Daphnia pulex: one gene and its partner. The protein of the gene in region 1 interacts with the protein of each later gene in a pairwise test. Links are inferred from orthologs where the notes say so. Each region holds a gene or a part of one and is shown on either strand. Other genes may lie near its edges.

Region 1 (9,945 bases):
GTTTGGCATAAAATGTTTACCTGTGGCAATAAGGCACTTGTCGTAGGCTTATGGCACGGCCATCGTCAAGTTCGGCTTTCCGTCCGACAATGTCAAGTTTAACGACGCGGTGTACACGTACGAATGCTACGCCGCCGTTATCTTTCCTATTCAATTAGACGGGATTGCAGTAAATTCATCCGAAAAACAGACAAGGAAGGAAAACAAGTCATTAGTACATGTTCAAAAAAATTACAATAATAAAGAGCTCACCCTCACTCTTTGTCGTTCCACTGTTTGAAACGAAGATTATTCGAAACTTCGGGGCTGCCGTGTTGCGTGTCGGAGAAGCTCACTTGACCGACTTCTATCGTACTTGGGCGCTCCAGTGTAGTATTCGACAGCTTTAGTGGTGTAATAAGCTGGAGCCTCGGTGTCGTAGGTTGGGGCAGCATACGTAGTTGCGTAGTCTCAGTAGGTGCCTCGGTGGTGTAGTACTTAGGAGCTTCGGTGTAGTACTCTGCGCTTTGGTAGTGTAGCTCGGGGAGCAGCACAAGTTGTGGTGTAATAATCTGAATCCTTGGTGGTTTAACTGTAAACCCAACTGTGCAACCTCGGTGTAGTAACTGGTCGTTGCGTATGTTGTTGTGTAGTAAGGCGGCGGCGCTGCGGTTTGGTATCCGCCTTATCCAGGAGACATCGGTACACCAGTGTTCGACCCAGCCATCAACGATACAACAACCAATAGCAGCACGACGGCATAGTTAACTAGACAATATTAAATATTCAACAATAACGGACATATTATCAAATAGAAAAAATGGAAAGTGATACAAAATTCCACGTAGAAATACAGATTATTTACCCGTGATTGCGACCTGGTATTACGACGAAGAATGCAGTTGTTGCCGGGTCGGAGATGCTCACTCGATTGACTTATGTTGCCTTTTCTCTTTCCTTTTGAAAGATTTTCTCTCGTGGTCGACATCAACGATACAGCACCCAACAGCAACACAATACCATAATTAGCTATGGAATAAACAATCGGAAATTATTTTTCGAAGGTAACTAGTCGTATCAACAACTAATGACAAGATAGAATAGATTTACGACTCGAAATAAAAATGAACATTTACCCGTGATTGCGAACTGATATTACGACGAAATATGGAGTTGTTGCCGTGTCGGAGATGCTCACTCGACTGATCCCTGCCAACTTTTCTTTCGCCTTTTATACAATTTTTTCTCACCCCTCCTCTTAAGCCTAATGGCTATTTTACCTTTTTGATAATGAAGCAAAACGTCCCGTTCTTACCCAACCTCTACACCAATGCCTGACACCTTTGCCGTAATGATATCCATGACCTTCGATTGAAATGCAAACTGGCCTTTCTTTCTGCAGGTGACTTTGCCGGGGATGGGTCTACAATAACCAATATCAAAATGAATACCAAATGGCTTACACTTGCGGCTATTGTACCTTTTAGATAATGAAGCAACACGTGTCATTCTCACCCAACCTCTACACCACTGCATGATACGTTTTACGTAATGATCTCCGTGACCTTCGAGCGTCAAGGTCGTAGAAACTGGCCTTTTTCTTTCTGCAGGTTGACGTTGCTGGGAATGGGTCTACAAAAACTAATATCAAAACACATATCAAATCATAAATGATAATGGCTTAAATTTTAGTCACTTTAAAAATACCACATTTGAGTCATTTGACTCGTTTCTTCGGTGAATGAATTCCATTTCGAACCGTTTGAAGGACTGTCGGCTTTTTTAAAAATATTCTACTGCAAACTTTTCTAAGTTTCAAACACATAATCCTTGCACCTGCGGTCGGAGAAGAAAATCTAAAAAAAAGATAAATTATTAATATAAAAAAATACAAATCAAAGCTTCTCATTAAACGGTTGAATAAAATCAACAAAGTTTTGCGACCTCGTGACTTTCGTGTCCATTCTTCACTGGGCTATTCAACATGTGAAAAGGCCACAGTAGTCTAAGTTACGCTTTTCTTGTCTGTTGGATGAAGAGCTCGGACACTTGTTCGAAATTTTGGTGATCTTGAAATAGTAATTCGATTGTTTCGGCGTTTGGAGCAATTAAATGGAAGACCAGGATCTCTTCTTCTTCTGTAGTACAGCAGATGAGAGCAACTTGAGCAACGCCCTACATCGGCGGCCAGTAAAGTGGAATTATTTGTAGGACATTCTCTTACAATTTTAGCAAGTTCTTTAGGAGAATCACAAGTTGACGTGCTCTTAAGCAATGCGTATAAATTGGCTTGGTGGACAAATATTCTTCCTTGATTTCCAGTAGCAACTCTTGGCCGAATAATCGAAATGACAACTAAATTGAGTTTCTCAAACATTCTCTTGACCGTCGAAACTTGCAAATACGAAAGTTTGATGTTCTACTCGGTATCAAATAGCAAGACACATTTCACGATTTTAAAGCCCAGCCAAAGAAGCCTTGAGGCAAGTTGTCAACACGATTACAGAGACGAAGTCACCTAAAAGTGAACCAGAATTTTTAGTAATTGCAAGATTAGTACACCAGACGAAAAAGTTTATACTTCAATGGACGAAAATGGCTGATGAATTCTCCTTGAGAACTGAAGGTATCTGAAGAAGCCAACGACGCGAATGATAAATGAGCCGCCGCTTCCGTGAAAAATTTCCAGTTGCTCGCATCCGGCCCTAAGCACGGTCCCAAATGTTCCCCACTCGAGGAAAAAGCCCTTCGGTTTTTCAAAAATGTTATCCACATAATAACTCATCTTCGAAAACGGTAATTTTTTTTTCAAAACAATTATGTAAATGTACGAAGCATAAACAAATCTAGAAATAGGCCTTTAAAAAAACGCAATTAAAACTAATTAATCAAACATTCAACAAAAGTTTTAGTCATACTTCTTTCATTTCCTATGCGTTTTCATCTTCGCTTTTAGCGACACGATCAAGAAACCACCGTTATGGTCCAAGATGGATGTCAAAAGTCGCCAATAAGTGACTGAAGGGTTGCATGCAAGTGCGGACACCAAATGGCATTTCGATAAGGGAAATAGGATGAGTTGAGTGACATCGATCGGTCAGGATAGTTGGCATAGACGAAATAACACCATGGCTTTGTTGAAGGCTTATAAGAAATACGCCAGACGTCGTACGAGGGCGAATCGAAGCTGGCGTCGCTTACGGCATTGACCGCGTTTCAGTTAATTTGGTTCTTCATTAGTTATGTCTGCAAACACTATTAATAAAAATAAACTGTGAACATTTCCCTGTACAAAACTAACATTCAGCTTACCTTTCCATAATTCAATCATGAGTTGATTGCTTTATAGTCCCAAGGCCGTTCGCACACCACTGTAGATCTGCTCTAAGATTAAACGTGAGCAGACTTGTTTGAAAAACTGGAACGAGCATTTCGAGCATTCATGACTTTTCAAAAAATCAATCGATATTTTTCGATAAAGATCAACAAAGGTTGGTCAGTAGGCGAGTGAACCAACTCTCTCAGCGAGATTTTGTGCTGGTCCGTTGTGAACGTCTTCGTCGACGAAACAATAATCCCAACTGTCACCAAATGAAAAGCCCTGGACGCGGATCGGCGTGAACGATGAAAATGACGCGGCATTTGATTTCTTCAGGACTCCCTTCACCTACTCCAGTTCTTCGAATTCCCACAAATTTTGACCTTATGCATTCGTTTGTCACTGTACCGTTAGTCAACTGCCTCAGATAGTAGAGCTCGTGATAAAAGGGCTTTTCAAATTCCATCTTGGTTAAAACTGCAGCACAGTTCATGTGTTGGGGGCTCAAGTAGTGTCATGTATTACTTTCCTTATGGCAAGAGTTTCATCACCAAAGCCAATTTATTCCCGGATGTCAATATTTTTGGCAAAGATGCCATTTGTAATGAACCAGCATTACCTTCCATGTCATTCGTGACCCAAACATTCAAGAGTCTGAAAAGAGAAATAAGGAATTTCGTTAAATTATCCTGAAATAGTTATCTTTAGTTATCTCACTACTACTTTTTCCTTATTATTAAGCACACAATCACAAGCTTTGCTTAAGTAATACTTACAAAATAATCTTGCTGTTCACATTATAAGAGATAGGTGATAGAAGATGTGGTACTGTAATCCATGCCAATCCCCATGTAGACTGAAGTCGACAGGAGATTAGAGTTTGTTCTTATTCTATGCAAATATTGTGTCTGGCAGTTCACGTAGGTGGGTGTTGTGTCACTGATTGCTTGAGTTCACTCTATTAAGTAATTGTTCTATGTACATATCATTGGATTCTTTGTTAGCAGAGGTAACTGCAACGGTCACACTGAACTTGAAAAGCTTAGACTTGCTGCATTCGAACTAAGTGCTGGGGGTTATTAACATAATAAAAACACACAGAACAAAATCTTTTAGAAGCCCTTTTTTTGTTTGAGCAAACAAAGATTGAAAAGTCCAATATGGGTGAAACCATCCATCCATGCCTTGATGTGATCTGGGCCCATTGAATATAAACATTTCCTTGATTTGACTGCTTTCGTGAGGCAATCGAGAAGAAAAAAAAAAGCAAACTTTTGCGTGAACTCATTAGACAAATGCTCACTACAATCAAACCATCTCATGATTGAAACTTTGCACGTTTGCAAAAAAATGCTGCCAATGCTGGTGAGTGGTGGCAGACGAACTTCAGTGAGAACTGGCTACTAGTGATGTTTCGTTAACGATAACGGATAACGTGAAAAGTCCGTTAACGGACCTTTTTTGGGGTTCGTTAACTTAACGGATAACGCTAACGTTTGGCATTTTTCAGACGTTATTTTCAGACGTTATTTTTGTTTTTAACAGCGCTGCCAAATATGAAATTTTTGGATTTTTCAAAATGAAATTTGTATTTTTTGCGCGCTTCCAACATTTTACTGTAGTAGGTTGACTATGAAAACGAATTTAAATAGCCAATGACAGTGAGCAGTAGTCTTCTTAGCTTCTCTGAGGTTTTTTTTTGCTTTCAAAACGTGGCAAACGAAACTGTATAAGTAGAGTAGGGAAACAACTAGAATCAGAGTGTAAATCTTTAATGTCAGATTCAGACTCTGATGCTCCTGTTGACGGTGAATAAGCGTGGCATCTGCGATGTTAGAAGATCTCGAAAGAAGATTTAATTTCATGACAGATTAAAGAGATCCTGATTTCGACTGCTCCTACCTTCTAGCCACTTCCCTCGACTGCATTGAAACTGAACTTTTAGACAACTTCCACTTTGCAAGTCATGAATTTGATCCTTCTAAGGATCCACCAGTTCAAGATGTGATCTCTTACTGGAAGGATTTGTCTGGTCGTTTCCCCTAATTATCCAAAATGGCCTATAATTTACTGGTTATACCAGTTTCTTCGGCATCATCTGAACGCGAATTTTCCATTGCCGGATGGCACTGTCTAGGACACAAAAATAGGACGGCGGAAGAAGTTTTGGCCGCAAAAGTCTTCCTCACTTGCAATAAGGATTTATTGAGGCCTTTACTTTTTTAGTTGGAACTTGTTTTTTTTTCTTTTGTCTGTGCGTTTATTTAATCCGCAGTTTCTGTTTTTTTTAGTTGATCATTGCTTCATTGTGACATTGTTCAACGCCAGCAGCAATTTAAATATAAGTAATCAAGACCGTGACTGATTTCAGTGATTTGATAGTGCAATTTTTTTATTAAATAACGGTAAAAATAACGTCGAATTTTCGTTAACGGAGACATTTTTAACGGCGTTAATTAACGGCGTTAACGAACGTGAAAAAATGAGACATCGTTAACTTAACGGATAACGCTAACGTTTAGAAAAAGCACTAACGAAACATCACTACTGGCTACTAGCTTGCTGCCCTTTTGCCATGATACCACAACCTAAAAGCAATCGAAAATTTAAGGAATCTTTACAGCTTACATGATAACCAAAGCTAGAATACATATTAATTATTATTTTATGAATAAATATTAATATATATTATATTATATTACTATGGATACGATAGTAAGATCACCAATTCACCATGATTAATGATTATTGTATTATTAATATATCACGGCCGTTAGCGAGTTATTCAACGTTATATGCTATTTTATTTTTTTAAATGAAACAAAAATCACGAACAACAGCCCTTTTTGAAGATCCCCCCTTTTTGCCAGATTTGAATTTGAAGCAAGTAGTGTGCAGTGTGAGCAGTAGATGGCTACGCTGTGGATAGCGGGTCGGAAAAACCATCTGTCGGCTGACGTTAATATTTTTTGGGAAAACCGGGACGCCCAATTGGAGGCTCACAAGACTTTAAGCCTCGCCATATTGAACAGCCTGAGGGAAAGGGGAAAAGTCTGTATTCACTATTCAGTCCTCTTCATGTTGCGCAGATAGTAACTTTTGACGCCCTACCCGTTTTTGTAATCTTGTCAAAACGATTGGTTTGTTGTCGTTGACTCTTGACGCAGTTTCCTAATGGCGGAAACAAAGATTATTTACCACATTGACGAAGAAGAAACTCCCTATCTTGTTAAACTTACAATATCTCCCGATCAAGTTACCCTAGCCGATTTCAAGAATGTTCTCAATCGTCCAAATTACAAATTTTTCTTCAAATCAATGGACGACGATTTCGGGTAAAACCAGTTTTTCTCGTTTTTTTTTTGTTGTTGTCAAGTGGCAATAACGTGTTACATGATAATTGTCCATGTAGTTATTTTTTTATGCAAGTGTAAGCATTGTTTTCTCTTTATTGTTTATGTTTCTAGTGTTGTCAAGGAAGAAATTGTTGATGACGATGCTCACCTTCCATGTTTCAATGGAAGAGTCATATCATGGGTAAACGTAACAAGTTAAATTATATTGATGAATATTTTAAGATGTCTTAATGTTTCTTTCACTTTGTAGCTAGTATCAGCTGAAAGTAGCATTTCAGACTCTGTATCTCAATGTGCTGAGAGTACTGCCACTACTGATGGGAGACCACCGTCTTTCCAGTGAGTTTTTTCTTTACAAATTTTCACTGCTTGTAAAGTTTGGTAATTAACTCGTCATTTGATTTTAGCCCTGGCCATAACAGAAGTATGGCTGAGGAATACACAACAGCTACTGAGACAGAATCGGTCATTAGTTCAAGACACAGTGGTAAACTTTATTTCCTTATGCTGTATTTTTATGTTTATGTGTTTACCTTTGTCCTGTTGCATCTCATTTTTCGTTATCTTCTGCAATTCTTTTGTTCTTTATGTTTTGCCATGAAGAGAGGCACATATTGCCCCGCTCTGGCCGTGTGCATCGTGAAACTTATGAAAAATATGATCGCTTTGATGGTGAGTTTGTTAGCATGGCTTTTTTTGTAGATTGTTGCTTCACTAAATTTTCATGTAGAATGTCTTATCTTACTATATATTCGATTAACATCCGATTGTCTCTTTAGTTCAAGCTCCTCGAAATGGCCACAACGCTATGAGACACAGAGCTGGACACGAATATGAATCCTCTTCTATGATCAGCTCGGATTTAGAGTCGACCAGCTTCGTTGACTCTGAAGAAGATGCATCTTCACGTATCACAACGACCACGGGTATTAAGCAAAGTTATAATAACTCTGGATTTATTGAAAATTTTGCATATTTTGAAATTTGCAGATCACACTAGTGTGTCTCGCCAAGGTCGCAATCGGAGACGTAATCGTCGCCGTCCCCGCCTCCCTCCTCTTTCATCTCGAGCTTCATCATTCTCCAGTATCACGGATTCCACTATGTCACTCAACATAATCACTGTCACCCTCAACATGGACACAGTCAACTTTTTAGGAATTTCCATCGTCGGCCAGAGTCATCAAGGTGGTGATGGTGGAATTTACGTAGGATCCATAATGAAAGGGTATAAACACAGATGAACCTGACATATTTCTTGTGGTAATTTCAAATGAAAATCATTGCTATTATTTAGTGGGGCTGTCGCTTTGGATGGTCGAATCGAGCCTGGTGACATGATCCTTCAAGTCAATGATATTAACTTTGAAAATATGTCAAATGACGATGCCGTTCGCGTTTTACGAGAAGTTGTCCAGAAACCTGGGTAAGCATAACTGTTTTTTTTGTTTTCCAACTTAACATTTAGTACATTGTGTTTTTTATTTGCATGTGTCAGCCCAATCAAACTTGTAGTCGCCAAGTGTTGGGATCCTAATCCAAAAGGATATTTCACTATACCCCGTACGGAACCTGTTCGCCCTATTGATCCCGGTGCGTGGGTTGCTCACACGGAAGCAGCAAGAGGTGATTGTCGTATTTTAAATCATAAATTGGCATCCAACAACAAATCTAACGTCATATTAGGTGGAACGCAGTACCCGAATCGTCCGCCATCTGTGGCGACGATGTCGTCAACCACCACAACAATGATGTCGAGTATGCCAGAAACCGAACGTAAGTTGTCACGTAGAAAATGTACCGAAAGAACTTTTGACTAAGTACTACTTGTCACAGGTCCAGTTGAAGAAGCCCAACCGCTTTCAGTGCGCTCAGACATGCTCGCAATTGTGCGAGCGATGGCGCGCCCAGATTCCGGACTTGAAGTTAGAGATCGCCTTTGGTTAAAAATTGTAATTCCAAGTGCGTTTATTGGATCAGAAGTGGTCGACTGGCTTCACAATCGCGTGCAAGGACTAGAAGAGCGGCGTGATGCCCGCAAGTTGGCTTCCCAGCTTCTGCGAAACGGTTACATCAGACATACAGTAAACAAGTACACATTCTCTGAACAATGTTACTACGTGTTCGGAGACCTGTGTTTGGGTGAGTTGACATTTGAGACTTATCGGGTTATAGAATATTTTGTTTGATGAAAGGGTTTTATCTTGTAGGTGTTTCGGCTCTTCGCCTGACTGATGACACGACATCGGAAGCCGATAGAGACACGCTCGCACCGTTGCCGTTGCCGACTCCTTGGGGTAGTGGGCCTGGTGCTACAGGAGCCGGTGGGGCTACCCCTCACATACCTTATTATCCAACCGGTTATGCGCCCATGCCTTACAGCTACAGCAGTGATCCCCTCGGATCGGCGCCTGTACAAAGTACTACATTTACGTATGGAAGAGAAGGCAGCGTTCACAGTGGTTCAGGTAACCCTCCAAATTCGATTAATTGAATCCTTACAAACTGTATTGTGAAAGTCGAACTTCAAATATGTTGACGTTGTAATAACAAACAGGGAGCAGTGGATCCGACGTACGCAGTGGACTGATGGGTGGAGACAGAAGTCAACCACCTTCTCTGCTAGGCGCAGTAAATCCCGTCGGACCAGGAATCCATGGGTCATCCAGCAGCAGCGGTTCTAGTACGGGTAATACAGTCTCTTTAAGACAGCAAAGACGATGATACCTACAAATGGCATGTGTGTATTTGAATGCAATCAAGAGTTTTGTATTTAAAGGAATAATAAAGAGCAGCTTCGTTTTATTTTATTTTATTTTTTTGTTCTCTCTTTTTTTGCTCTTTTTTTTACGATTTGCGCCTAGGAAGCAGCGACGGGGATTCTCAGATAGCAGTGAACGTTCGGTCGAACGGTGGGCAAGGCGGGGCCGACCGGCCTTTGAATCAAGTTCCGGATGACATGTCTGGATCGAGACAGTCTTTTCGAATGGCCATGACAAATCCATGCCAGATGAACGAGTACTTTGTCGACGTAATGTGATTGATCATTTTCTAGGTGTTAGCCGTTGCTTTTGGGGAAGCGTAAGATAAACTCTTCTTTCCTCACTCTTTTCCATCTGATTTTCAAAGCTTAAAAACAACGTTTAATCGTCGAGTCGTAATAAATCGTGCCCTTCCCTCTGATAGCTATTCTGTACGGCCAAGACTTTTCATATTATGCGGGCGGTTTAGTGTTTTCTTCTTGTATTTACATTTTTAAATAATTGCTGCTTGTGAACGAATTCTTTTCCT
Region 2 (10,138 bases), on another chromosome or scaffold:
CGGTGAATGTTGAACATCTCGTGATGTCGCCCCATTACACCCACGTCCAATTCTATATGGATCCCAGGCTTCTGGTTTTATCCTTGACTCTTGAGAGGTTCTTTTTCGAGGACTAGAAGAGAAAGCAGAAACCTTAAAGCAAACGGGACCTTGGGAGTTTGTTTTTCAAAAGTCAAAATCGCGAAAATGAGTCGCGGGGCAACCGTCACCCTTGGCTGGAAATCATTTGAGACGGGAGAGAGAATTCACGTGCGTCTGACGACGATACGCATGTGACACCTCGTCCATTTTACACACGCGCCAGAGGTTCGTATTACGTTTTTACGTCATTAAAACAAAAAAAGACTCGAGAGAAGGACAAAAGTGGGTTCGTTTTGTTTTTCGGCGGAGGGGTATTTGACCAGCTGCGTTGTGTTATTTACCGTTAACTGGGGGGAAGAATTGCAAGAGAGGAAAAATGCATGTCCCGTTTAAACGAAATCGTTCAGCGTGATCTATCAGCTGGAACCGTGTTTGGGACTCTCGTGAGAGAAATGCGGGAGTGATTACGAAATGGCCATCCTCCAAAGTCAGATGGCGAAAACCAATTTTCAAAAGAAAATTGCCACAAAATTTCATTTTCAAAGAGGCAGGGAAATTTCACATCGAAAATCGCTGGACAGGAACCGATGAGAGGCTGAACCGAAGCCAAAATTTGGCCAAGCGATGCGAACATCGACTGCCGTACAACTAGTAGATGGAACGAAAAAGGAGTAATAAAAGTCGCCATAAAACAAAACACAATAAAAAGACAAACCAAACAAACTGAAAAAAAAAGAAACAATGGGTGTGTTACTGTCACTGTGTATGTGCGGAGGAGTTTTCCATGTGAAAAAACCAGACAGTATATTTGGCTACGCCCATACGGGTACATGCGTAACACCACGTCAATTATCCAACTCTCTCTCTCTCTTGATTAAAGTGAGAGTTATAAATCTTCTATTCAAATTTAACCAAAAAAAAAAGGGTTGGGGATTTATTATTTCAAGCCCTCCAAAAGACTCAACATTTCAAGAGTTGAAAAACAAAAGATGGCGCGCAGGCGCGGCATCCCCAACGGACAATACCTTGACATACACAACAGAGGGCTTCTTCTTTGATAAACTTTATTTATAATATAAACAAAAGCAGCCAAGTTCAAATTCGATTGGCAACTTTGGATGGGGGAAAAAAGAACAATAAAGCTTTATTCTTCTTTTTTATTATTCGCCAGAGACATCATCACTTCCGGTGGGCGATGGATGTTGTTGGGCAACATCGACTTAAACTCTTCAAAACCAAACTAGGAAAGAAAATAGAAAACGCAACACGGTTGGGTTGATCCCATGGCCTCGCGGGTATATCTTTTCCACGCAGTGCTATAACCAAAAGGAAAACTTTCATTGGCCTCCCCTGAGCTGCACTGCTGCTGGCCTGCGTGAAATCTAGGACATAACATCCACCTCCTCCTATACCCATTGAATAAACTAAAAATGGACTAGATGGGTCGGTCGTTGGAGAATTTGCACACCTGGCGTCACTGACGCACCTGCACACATGATGAAAGCATTTCGATCGACTCGACTAAACACTCGTTTTGAGAGTGTTTTACACGGGTGTACATTGCTACCAAGAATGGAGAAAAAAAGGATGACACCTAACCGAAAGAGAAAGATGGCTTTAGGCTATTCTTCTAGTCATTAAAAAACTGTTTCTACCTTTCCCTCCCTTTCTAGCCTCTTTTGGACGCTTTCCGTCAGGTGAGTGAACTCGCACAACGGCTCAAAAAACGTTCGACTCGGCCAAACACAGAACAAGATAAGCCAAGAAAATGAAACAATAATGTTGGTGTGGACACTCACCTTAAGATGTGGTCTTTGTCTGGATGGTGGCTGGACTAAAGATGTTGTTGAATCAAGGTGTGTGTGTATATGGAGTTGCAGGATAGCAGACGAGTCACAGAAATGTTAAGAGACCGCTAGTTCATGTGACCTCGGACGACGTGGTTTTTCATAAAAATAAAAGGGGGCAACGAGTGGAGCTGCAGCACACACCAACAACACACCAACCCACTCTGGTCTCTGCCGCCGCCTTCAGTTCGGTCTTGCAGCTCACGAACGACAACGGTCCGGACACGTTCTGCCTCAGAACACTATACACACACATTCTGGGTGTCTCTTGCCTTTTGGCTTAGTTCCCAACCTGCGCGCGGCCCATTCTTTTTTTTTTTGGTCAGGTGATTTAGACATCTAGCGGTCATTTGAGCAAGTTTCAACTGTCAGTCAATAGGTGGCGCTGGGGAGTCGAATCGTAAACAAAAACAATCGTGTTTGTTTGCATGAAAAAATCGAGAACAACCGTTCGTTCTTAAGGTTTCTCTTGGACACATCCGTACGCCAACACACGACACGATGTGTTTAAAACAAGATCGTTTGCACCGGTTGGTACACACGCACAAACTGTGTGGCGTTGTTTTTCTCTGGCAAACAAACGAAAAAGGGGGAGAAAAAGGAAGACCTTCCCCAGTCAAAAACCGGGAAATGATTCCAGCGACCGGGAATCCTCTCCTCACCTTTCTCGATATCCTGCTTCATTTTTTTTAAGTGAACACGACAGTTATCAAGTAGAAGAAGCCAAAGATGTTTCTCGGGGGGTTGTCGAATCAACGGGATATTTTGAATATGCGAGGGAGAGCTAAGAAGAAGCTCAGAACCAGGGCACGTAGAACATAATATACCGCAAAAGGGGTTCGTTCATCCCTTCTCCAACCCTGGAAATGAGTTATTTGACGTAATGTCAATATATTAAGGCAACGGTCCACAATATGTTGACAACGACTTCTTTTTTAAAAAGAAAAACTCTTGCAGCTACAGCACTGTACGGTCCGTGTCCAGTGGGCGGTATATTACGTCAGGGTGCGCTCAGGACGAGCCAAGAAAACCCAGCTGACATTCCAACCCCGAATCTCCTGTACACATTCTTATGGGGACAGAAAGAATTCTCTATCAGACGCTTGTTCAGAAAACGTCATCCGGCTAGCGCAGAATCGATACACAAGAGACGCGGAAATGAGCTTGACACAAGTCACATAATGTGTGCCGTTGTCCTGACAATCTTCCTTTACCAAGTGCCAAATAGACAAGAAAAACGTGTCGAACAGAAGAAGAAAAAACCAGAAATGAATACAAATTTGTTGGGTTTTTATCGCTTCCAATGTTTCCGACAACTACACAATCTTGAGAGACCCGTTCAGGACGGCTGCAATCCGTTTAGAACTTTTAGATATGACATTCTTCTTCTTCACGGGGGCGAAATGTGATTATCTGCGCACGATGACTTTGAAAGCTGCTGGAAATGTTTCATTTGAAATTGTTGGAAGGCAGGAAAACGATGAGGCTTCTGGGATTTTTTTTAACAAAGAACAGAAGGTATTATACAGAGACGACTGTTTATATTTGAACCAGTCAAAGTAGCTCAGAAAGACTGGGGGCCTGCTTAACAATAGCTAGCTCTTTCAGCAGCAAAAGAGTTCCTCTCTATATCTCTCCCCCTCACTCAGTCATTCAAAAATGTCGGTTTGGAGTTTTTCGAGTGATGAGGAAGGGAGAGGGGTTCCCTGTCCGTTGAATAGCCTCAGCACGTTCCAGCTGGAACGATCTATATATACGAGCCCTATAGCTGAGAGGGCTCGAGTCGTTGCCAGTGTGTGTGAACATTGTCTGGAGGTAGATAACAAAATCCCTGTGCCTAATTAGCGCGTTAGTGTTACACAAGAAAGACGAAAAGGAACCCAGCAAAAGTCAAAAGGAACATCGTCACTCGTCAGAGTCTTTGATTTCCCGAGGTCAGCAGCATCTCCAGCTGCTCGGCGTTGAAAAGATAAATGCATTTTAACACAAATCTTTCTTCGCGGTCTCAACTTTTTTGTTCTTCAGCAATCAGCTTTTCTTTTTTTTCCCGGAGCAGAGACTAGAACACAGTTGGATGTAATTTGTTTGTTCAGCAGCAGGGTTCGCTAGATCTAAAAGTCGCCAGATATCTCATCGTGCATCTCCAGCAAAGCGAATCGAACGAACGACCGCGATTGTGTAACGCGCCGGCGTCAACAGCAGCAACTCTGTAACAATGAGCTAGACTCTTTTTCTTCTTCCACTGGTATTCTAATATGAAGACACAAGGAGGAAATCTCAATGATAATTAAAAAGACAGCAACACGAGACGGGTTACATGGGTCTTCCGTTTCGTGAAAAAAGAAACTGTGACATTTGATGAGAGTAGGAAACGAGTACGACGAACTTGTTTTTCTTTTTCTCTTTTTAATATTCAGAGTTCGGCAACGCTGTTCCGCTAGAGCTGAATTTTGTAGATGGCACTATGGCAGCCATACACCGGGGGCTGCTGGAGTGAAGTCTCTCGTATTTGAAGCTTTTTTAGTCCGAGACGTTTTCTCGGTTCACCGTTGACGTTGAAACCAAAAAAGAAACACACCCTCGTTTTTCAAGTCACAAACATTAGTCGTTGTTGATCGGGTTTTATTGGAATTTGGGTGTGCCGCAGTATTTGTTTTTAATCAGACCTGGATTCAGCATAGTTGTGTGTGTGTGCCGTCGCCCTTGGAAGAAATAATCAACACAAAAGCCTATAGCTCTTGTCTGCTATAGTCTTTTTTACCCTCAAAGTGTAACACTCCAGTTTCGTTTATGCCGTTTGTCTCCATCGCCTGTCATCACAAATGATACCTATCTAGACAGAACTGATAGCCCAGTTTGACTGTAAGTGGATTATTCATCACACACACAGCAGAGAGCCTGACCCCAAGACATAACCATCTGATTCATCCTCTTTCAGTTTGCTGCTCTTCCCAGCTGGCGATGTGCATACATTCAGGGCAATGGGAGCCCAGCAAGGCAAGGAACGTGAGCGGACATCCACAGCAGCTGGCTCCCTGCACTCGCTCACCCTCACATCTACAGCTGGTTCTAGACCGGTGAAGCCAAAAACCAACTCCTTGAGACCGGCCAGGGAGAACTCTTCAGCTACTCGTTCTCAGGCCTTCAATGTGTTTGTCGAACACAATGGTATGTCAATTGTCTGTTTATCTTGCCACGATACTCTTGTGCCGTCAACCAGGCATGTGGTTGTTTGCTCCTGTCAAATGAGTTCATGCCACTGCAACTTGCAGCGATCCAACCTTGAGAGTGTGAATATGAAAACCCCCTTGTTGTCATTCCTTTTAGAGTTTTTACTAGGCCATGGAAACCAAACCTACTGCTAACCTACATTCGCCCCTGGGTTACTGAATCGCTCCGTAATCGATAGACTAGATTATGCAATTTGATTGGTCACACAGTCTGCATTCGCCACCGTGAGGTGTTGTTGTGGTTGATCTGTCACCATAGTGACAGGGCAGTCCGCCTACTTTCTATGCAGATCTGAAATCGCTTGTTGGAACTGGTGCGACTCAAATTATGCACACGAGGCCAGAGAACGTCAGATAATTTATTTATGATTCGACCCACGAGAGACTCGGTTTGTCAGGTGATTTTCGTTCAGGCTTTTCCGTCTATCGTGCCAACTTTGCATCAAGAGAGAAACCGTGAGAATTGACATAGTTCGTTCGGTTGACACACAACTCCAAAACTCCCCTTCAACTCCCAAGAGTGATAGATGATGACGAAGAAGAAGAAGAAGAAGGAAGAATCATGGGGAGGTTCAATTACTCAGAGTGTTTGGAGACCGGAGTCACGGGTATGGCGCCCGTCTTCCTCCTTCCAGATGCCTCTTTCCGTTCCAACGAAAGAAAAAGAAACAAATTCCCAACTTAATCTGATTAGTGTACAAGAGACTCGGTTCTCCCATCTCTCTCGCACCAATGAACGGGCCAAGAATCGCTCTTTTAAGTCTTTGTGTGTCTGTGTTGTGTTGTCGGAATGGCATTATTGCAGCTTTCGGATACGACGAGGCTCTTTAACAAACCGTCTGGACGTTGTCCTAAAAAACAAAACAAAAAAAAATCTGGCATTTCGGTCTGCGATGCTCTTTTCTTGGCTTCCTCATCATTTTTCCCAGCTGCCATGTGAGATTGCCTTGGACGCCAGAACCGTGTCCATTGGCAGATGCAATCTCGTCAGTTTCTTATTCATTCATTCATGTTTTGAAAGTTTTATTTCCTTTGACTTGTTGTTGTCTGTCAGAAAAATTACATTTCTCTTCAATTGCTGAGAAAATGGGATTTTTCCGTGCACTTACTACACAACCACAACAACAACGACGACGATTTTGATAAATCGCATGCAGGGTGCCCTGGACCACTACGCGTTGCTCGTATGTGTGTCTCTCTCTCGACCAGCAGCGACCGGAACGCTGAAAAATGACGGCCAGATGTCGTGCTGCGTTTCAGGAGTCGACTGTGGGAGGGACCTGAAAGGGGCCACCGCAAAAAAGAAAAGAATTAAAGAGAAAAGAGGAAAAAGAAATAACCGGTGGTGCCTCGTCCAACCGACGATTCGTTCTAATCACGAGCCGCAAAAGGAGATGAGGGGAAATTCAGTCTCTCCAGTTACTCGTCACTGGACGGACATTATCCAGTCCTTTCTCGCCCTCTCCTTTTTCGCTCTATGCGTGAGGTGTAGTGAACTGTAGTGTGCAGCCTAGAAGAAGAAGTAGTTATCTGGTTTCGGTCAAAGTTCCTTTTTCGTGAAAACCAACCCAAAAAATTGCCAAAAAAGAGAAGAAGAAGAAGAAGAGTCAAAGAAGACGCTGCTGCTGATTTGGTCGGTTTGCGCCATGTCGAATCCCGCCCTCTTGCCGCCCTCGGTCATGCGGCTCCTTCAGATCCTTTATCCTCCCGGTGCCAAGCCTCGACTTGGTAAGAACCTCACAAGTTACAAGCAAAAGTAAAAAAAAAAAAAAAAGTCAAGAGTCAGCCATTATTGATCGGCTGCTGTACCTTATTATTGATGTTCCGCCTGACTTATTCCTTTCGATCCTGTTTGTACTGACCAAATGCTGCGGGTCGAATTTCTGGAAACGGATCCTATCCGCCACGGAAGATTTGACTTATTTACTCTCAATGAACCCGTCTACTTTGGTGTAATCATGTCCGCTACTTTTTGTTGTTGGTTTTTTGAAACGAGAGAAACGATCTAGTCGTGTCGGGGAGTGCCAATTTAATCGTGAAAAATGCGGAGACTACAACAACAGTTTGCGTAGTTGGCAACTTTAGGGAAACTTGTAATGGTAGCCGTTGTGGAACAAACAGATACTTACCGAACAGCTGTTGTGCCGTGACGTCCGACCGGTTAACTGAGGTCAAAACGTGAAGATTTTTCAATGTCTTATTTTGAAAACTAGCAATTTCTAATGCAAATCCTTCGTTAACGACGGTATCTGGGGGGATTATATGGAAGAAAAGAAAAAAAGAAAAGAACACGACACACAACAGATGAGGCCAGCAGCTTGTTGGAACAGGGGCGAATTAAAAACCGGCCCTGTCTTGTTTATTACCGTTACATACACTGTGGCATTGCGTGCCATTGGCCTAGCGGTTTGAATAGTTTCCATATGAGGGTCAGACATCTTGCATGTTTCGTTCTGATTTCTCCCTTTGTTTTTGTTTCTCGTGTTTTCATTTATTTTATCTTTTTATTGTATTTTATTCTTTTTTTTTGTTTTGTTTCCTTCTCGATTGTGTGTCACACAGAGGCATTGTTGCAGAACCGGCCACTGCCAACGCTGCCCGACTTGGCGACGGGCACGTTGGACATGGACGGTGGCGGATCGTCGGGACTAGGAGGCGGCCACTGCGGTACCACCTTTAGCCTTGAATCGGCGCACCGATGGACGTCGAGAGATAATCTGCTCCATACCGAACCCGACGATGAAGACCCGCAACTCTTTGTCGCTCTTTATGACTTTCAAGCTTCCGGCGATAACCAGCTCAGCTTGAAAAAAGGTGCCGCTTTAAAAATTTTTTCATATCAACCAGACATTCAAACGTTATTTTTTTCTTTTCCCCTTATTTTTTAAATCTCTTTTTTATTATTATTATGATCATTCTGTAGGCGAACAAGTGAAAATTCTGAGCTATAATAAAAGTGGAGAATGGTGCGAAGCTCATTCGGGTTCGGGCAGGGTCGGCTGGGTCCCGTCCAACTATGTGACTGCTGTCAATTCCCTAGAGAAACACTCTTGGTATCACGGACCAATCTCCCGCAATGCAGCTGAATACTTGCTCAGTTCGGGCATCAATGGCAGCTTTTTGGTTCGGGAATCGGAAAGCAGTCCCGGACAACGATCCATCTCACTCCGTTATGAGGGTCGGGTGTATCACTATCGGATCAGCGAAGACTCGGAAGGGCGGGTAATAAATAAATCCAATCCTATTGAATTGCAAACCTCCCCCTCTAAACTTGTTTGAATGTTTACTTTACTACTTTTTTTTTATTTTTTTAAAAAGGTTTACGTCACTTCTGAGAGTCGATTCCGGACCCTGGCCGAGCTCGTCCATCACCATTCGGCCAATGCCGACGGCCTCATCACGCAATTGTTGTATCCGGCCCCCAAACGTCACAAACCTCAAGTGTTTGCTCTTAGTCCCGAGCCGGATGAGTGGGAAATTGAGCGTACGGACATCGCCATGAAGCAGAAGCTTGGAGGAGGTATTAATTCATTTCGGCCTAGGTGGTGTCCGCTTTCTCTTACTGCTCGCTGGGTGTTTGCGGTTGTCATCGTGTCGATTACGACGTGAACTAATTGAAGCGCGGGAGATGATGATGATGATGAACCGCGGCTTTCCCTTCCTGGACGATTTCGAAACCCCCCTAAACTTTTGGTCCTTTTCTATTTAATTGTAGGCCAGTACGGCGACGTGTACGAGGCAATGTGGAAGAGATACAACATGACTGTGGCCGTCAAGACGCTCAAGGAGGACACAATGGCGCTTAAAGACTTTCTAGAAGAGGCGGCCATAATGAAGGAAATGAAGCATCCGAATCTGGTTCAGTTGCTAGGCGTGTGCACGCGCGAGCCTCCATTCTACATTGTCACCGAATTCATGTCGCGAGGCAACTTGCTCGACTATTTACGAAGGGCCAACCGTGAAGAGATCGACGCCATTGTTCTCCTTTACATGGCAACCCAAGTAGCGGCCGCCATGTCCTACCTGGAGAGCAGGAATTTCATTCACAGGTGAGAATTAGCTAGGGTCCCGGGGAAATTTGATAGACTGGATCGCGCGGGGGTCTCTTAACTGCTGCCGCGATGTGTTTCATTAACCCGAAAACGTTTTGCTTATCATCTGAAGGGATCTTGCCGCCCGTAATTGCCTTGTCGGCGAGAACCACTTAGTCAAAGTGGCCGATTTCGGATTGGCGCGTTTAATGCGTGACGACACCTACACGGCTCACGCCGGCGCTAAATTTCCCATCAAATGGACCGCACCCGAAGGCTTGGCGTACAATAAATTCTCCACCAAGGTGACACTTTCCTCCTCTTTCCTGCGGCTCCCGTTTTTCCTCGTCATTAATCGTTTGTGTGAAAATGTTTCTTTTTTCTTCTTTCTTTCTCTAGTCGGACGTCTGGGCTTTTGGGATCCTTTTGTGGGAAATTGCCACCTACGGGATGTCCCCTTACCCCGGTATCGATTTAACTGATGTCTACCATACCCTGGAAACAGGTTACCGGTGAGTTATTGTGTCTACTTTTTTTTCTTACGTTTTCATTTCAACAGCTGAACTCGATTTTTCTTTTATCTCTCTCTCTCTCCCTGACGATGGGGTTTCCTATACTAAAGGATGGAATGCCCTCCAGGATGCCCGCCCCGGGTCTACGATCTCATGCAGCAATGTTGGCATTGGAGTGCCAATGACCGGCCGACTTTCCAAGAGATCCACCACGGCCTGGAAAATATGTTTCAAGAGTCGAGCATTAACGAAGGTTCGCCATTCTACTTACCAGCTTATCAAATCGATTGGAATAATTTTCTGACTGGTGGGTTGTTCCCAATTAAATTGGTTCGACTAATTAGAAGTCGAGCGGCAGTTGCAGGGTAGCAGCAGCAGCGTCGGCGTCAGTTCCTCGAGTCCACGCCTGGCCTCCAAAAAGGCCGCCAATCAGGGAC

Evidence for each region.
Region 2: the proteins of segment polarity protein dishevelled homolog DVL-3-like (region 1) and tyrosine-protein kinase ABL1-like interact in binary tests that used the Drosophila melanogaster proteins (3 or more experiments, as listed by UniProt). The link is inferred for Daphnia pulex from reciprocal best matches to the Drosophila melanogaster genes dsh and Abl.

The regions. Positions count from the first base shown.
Region 1 is NC_060018.1:12,877,583-12,887,527, reverse strand, and holds the start of segment polarity protein dishevelled homolog DVL-3-like, read left to right. Parts: upstream 1-6,254; 5' UTR 6,255-6,472; coding exon 6,473-6,633; intron 6,634-6,765; coding exon 6,766-6,835; intron 6,836-6,904; coding exon 6,905-6,993; intron 6,994-7,061; coding exon 7,062-7,141; intron 7,142-7,257; coding exon 7,258-7,326; intron 7,327-7,433; coding exon 7,434-7,580; intron 7,581-7,644; coding exon 7,645-7,882; intron 7,883-7,951; coding exon 7,952-8,080; intron 8,081-8,152; coding exon 8,153-8,280; coding exon of another isoform or gene 8,281-8,340; coding exon 8,341-8,430; intron 8,431-8,490; coding exon 8,491-8,796; intron 8,797-8,864; coding exon 8,865-9,122; intron 9,123-9,211; coding exon 9,212-9,343; coding exon of another isoform or gene 9,344-9,378; exon of another isoform or gene 9,379-9,394; intron 9,395-9,518; coding exon 9,519-9,694; 3' UTR 9,695-9,945.
Region 2 is NC_060021.1:8,610,522-8,620,659, reverse strand, and holds the start of tyrosine-protein kinase ABL1-like, read left to right. Parts: upstream 1-4,368; 5' UTR 4,369-4,790; intron 4,791-4,866; 5' UTR 4,867-4,909; coding exon 4,910-5,096; intron 5,097-5,111; exon of another isoform or gene 5,112-6,804; coding exon of another isoform or gene 6,805-6,886; intron 6,887-7,720; coding exon 7,721-7,972; intron 7,973-8,081; coding exon 8,082-8,380; intron 8,381-8,476; coding exon 8,477-8,678; intron 8,679-8,873; coding exon 8,874-9,207; intron 9,208-9,322; coding exon 9,323-9,494; intron 9,495-9,588; coding exon 9,589-9,701; intron 9,702-9,811; coding exon 9,812-9,954; intron 9,955-10,045; coding exon 10,046-10,138. UniProt on the Drosophila melanogaster protein: Arm and Abl proteins function cooperatively at adherens junctions in both the CNS and epidermis; critical for embryonic epithelial morphogenesis regulating cell shape changes and cell migration.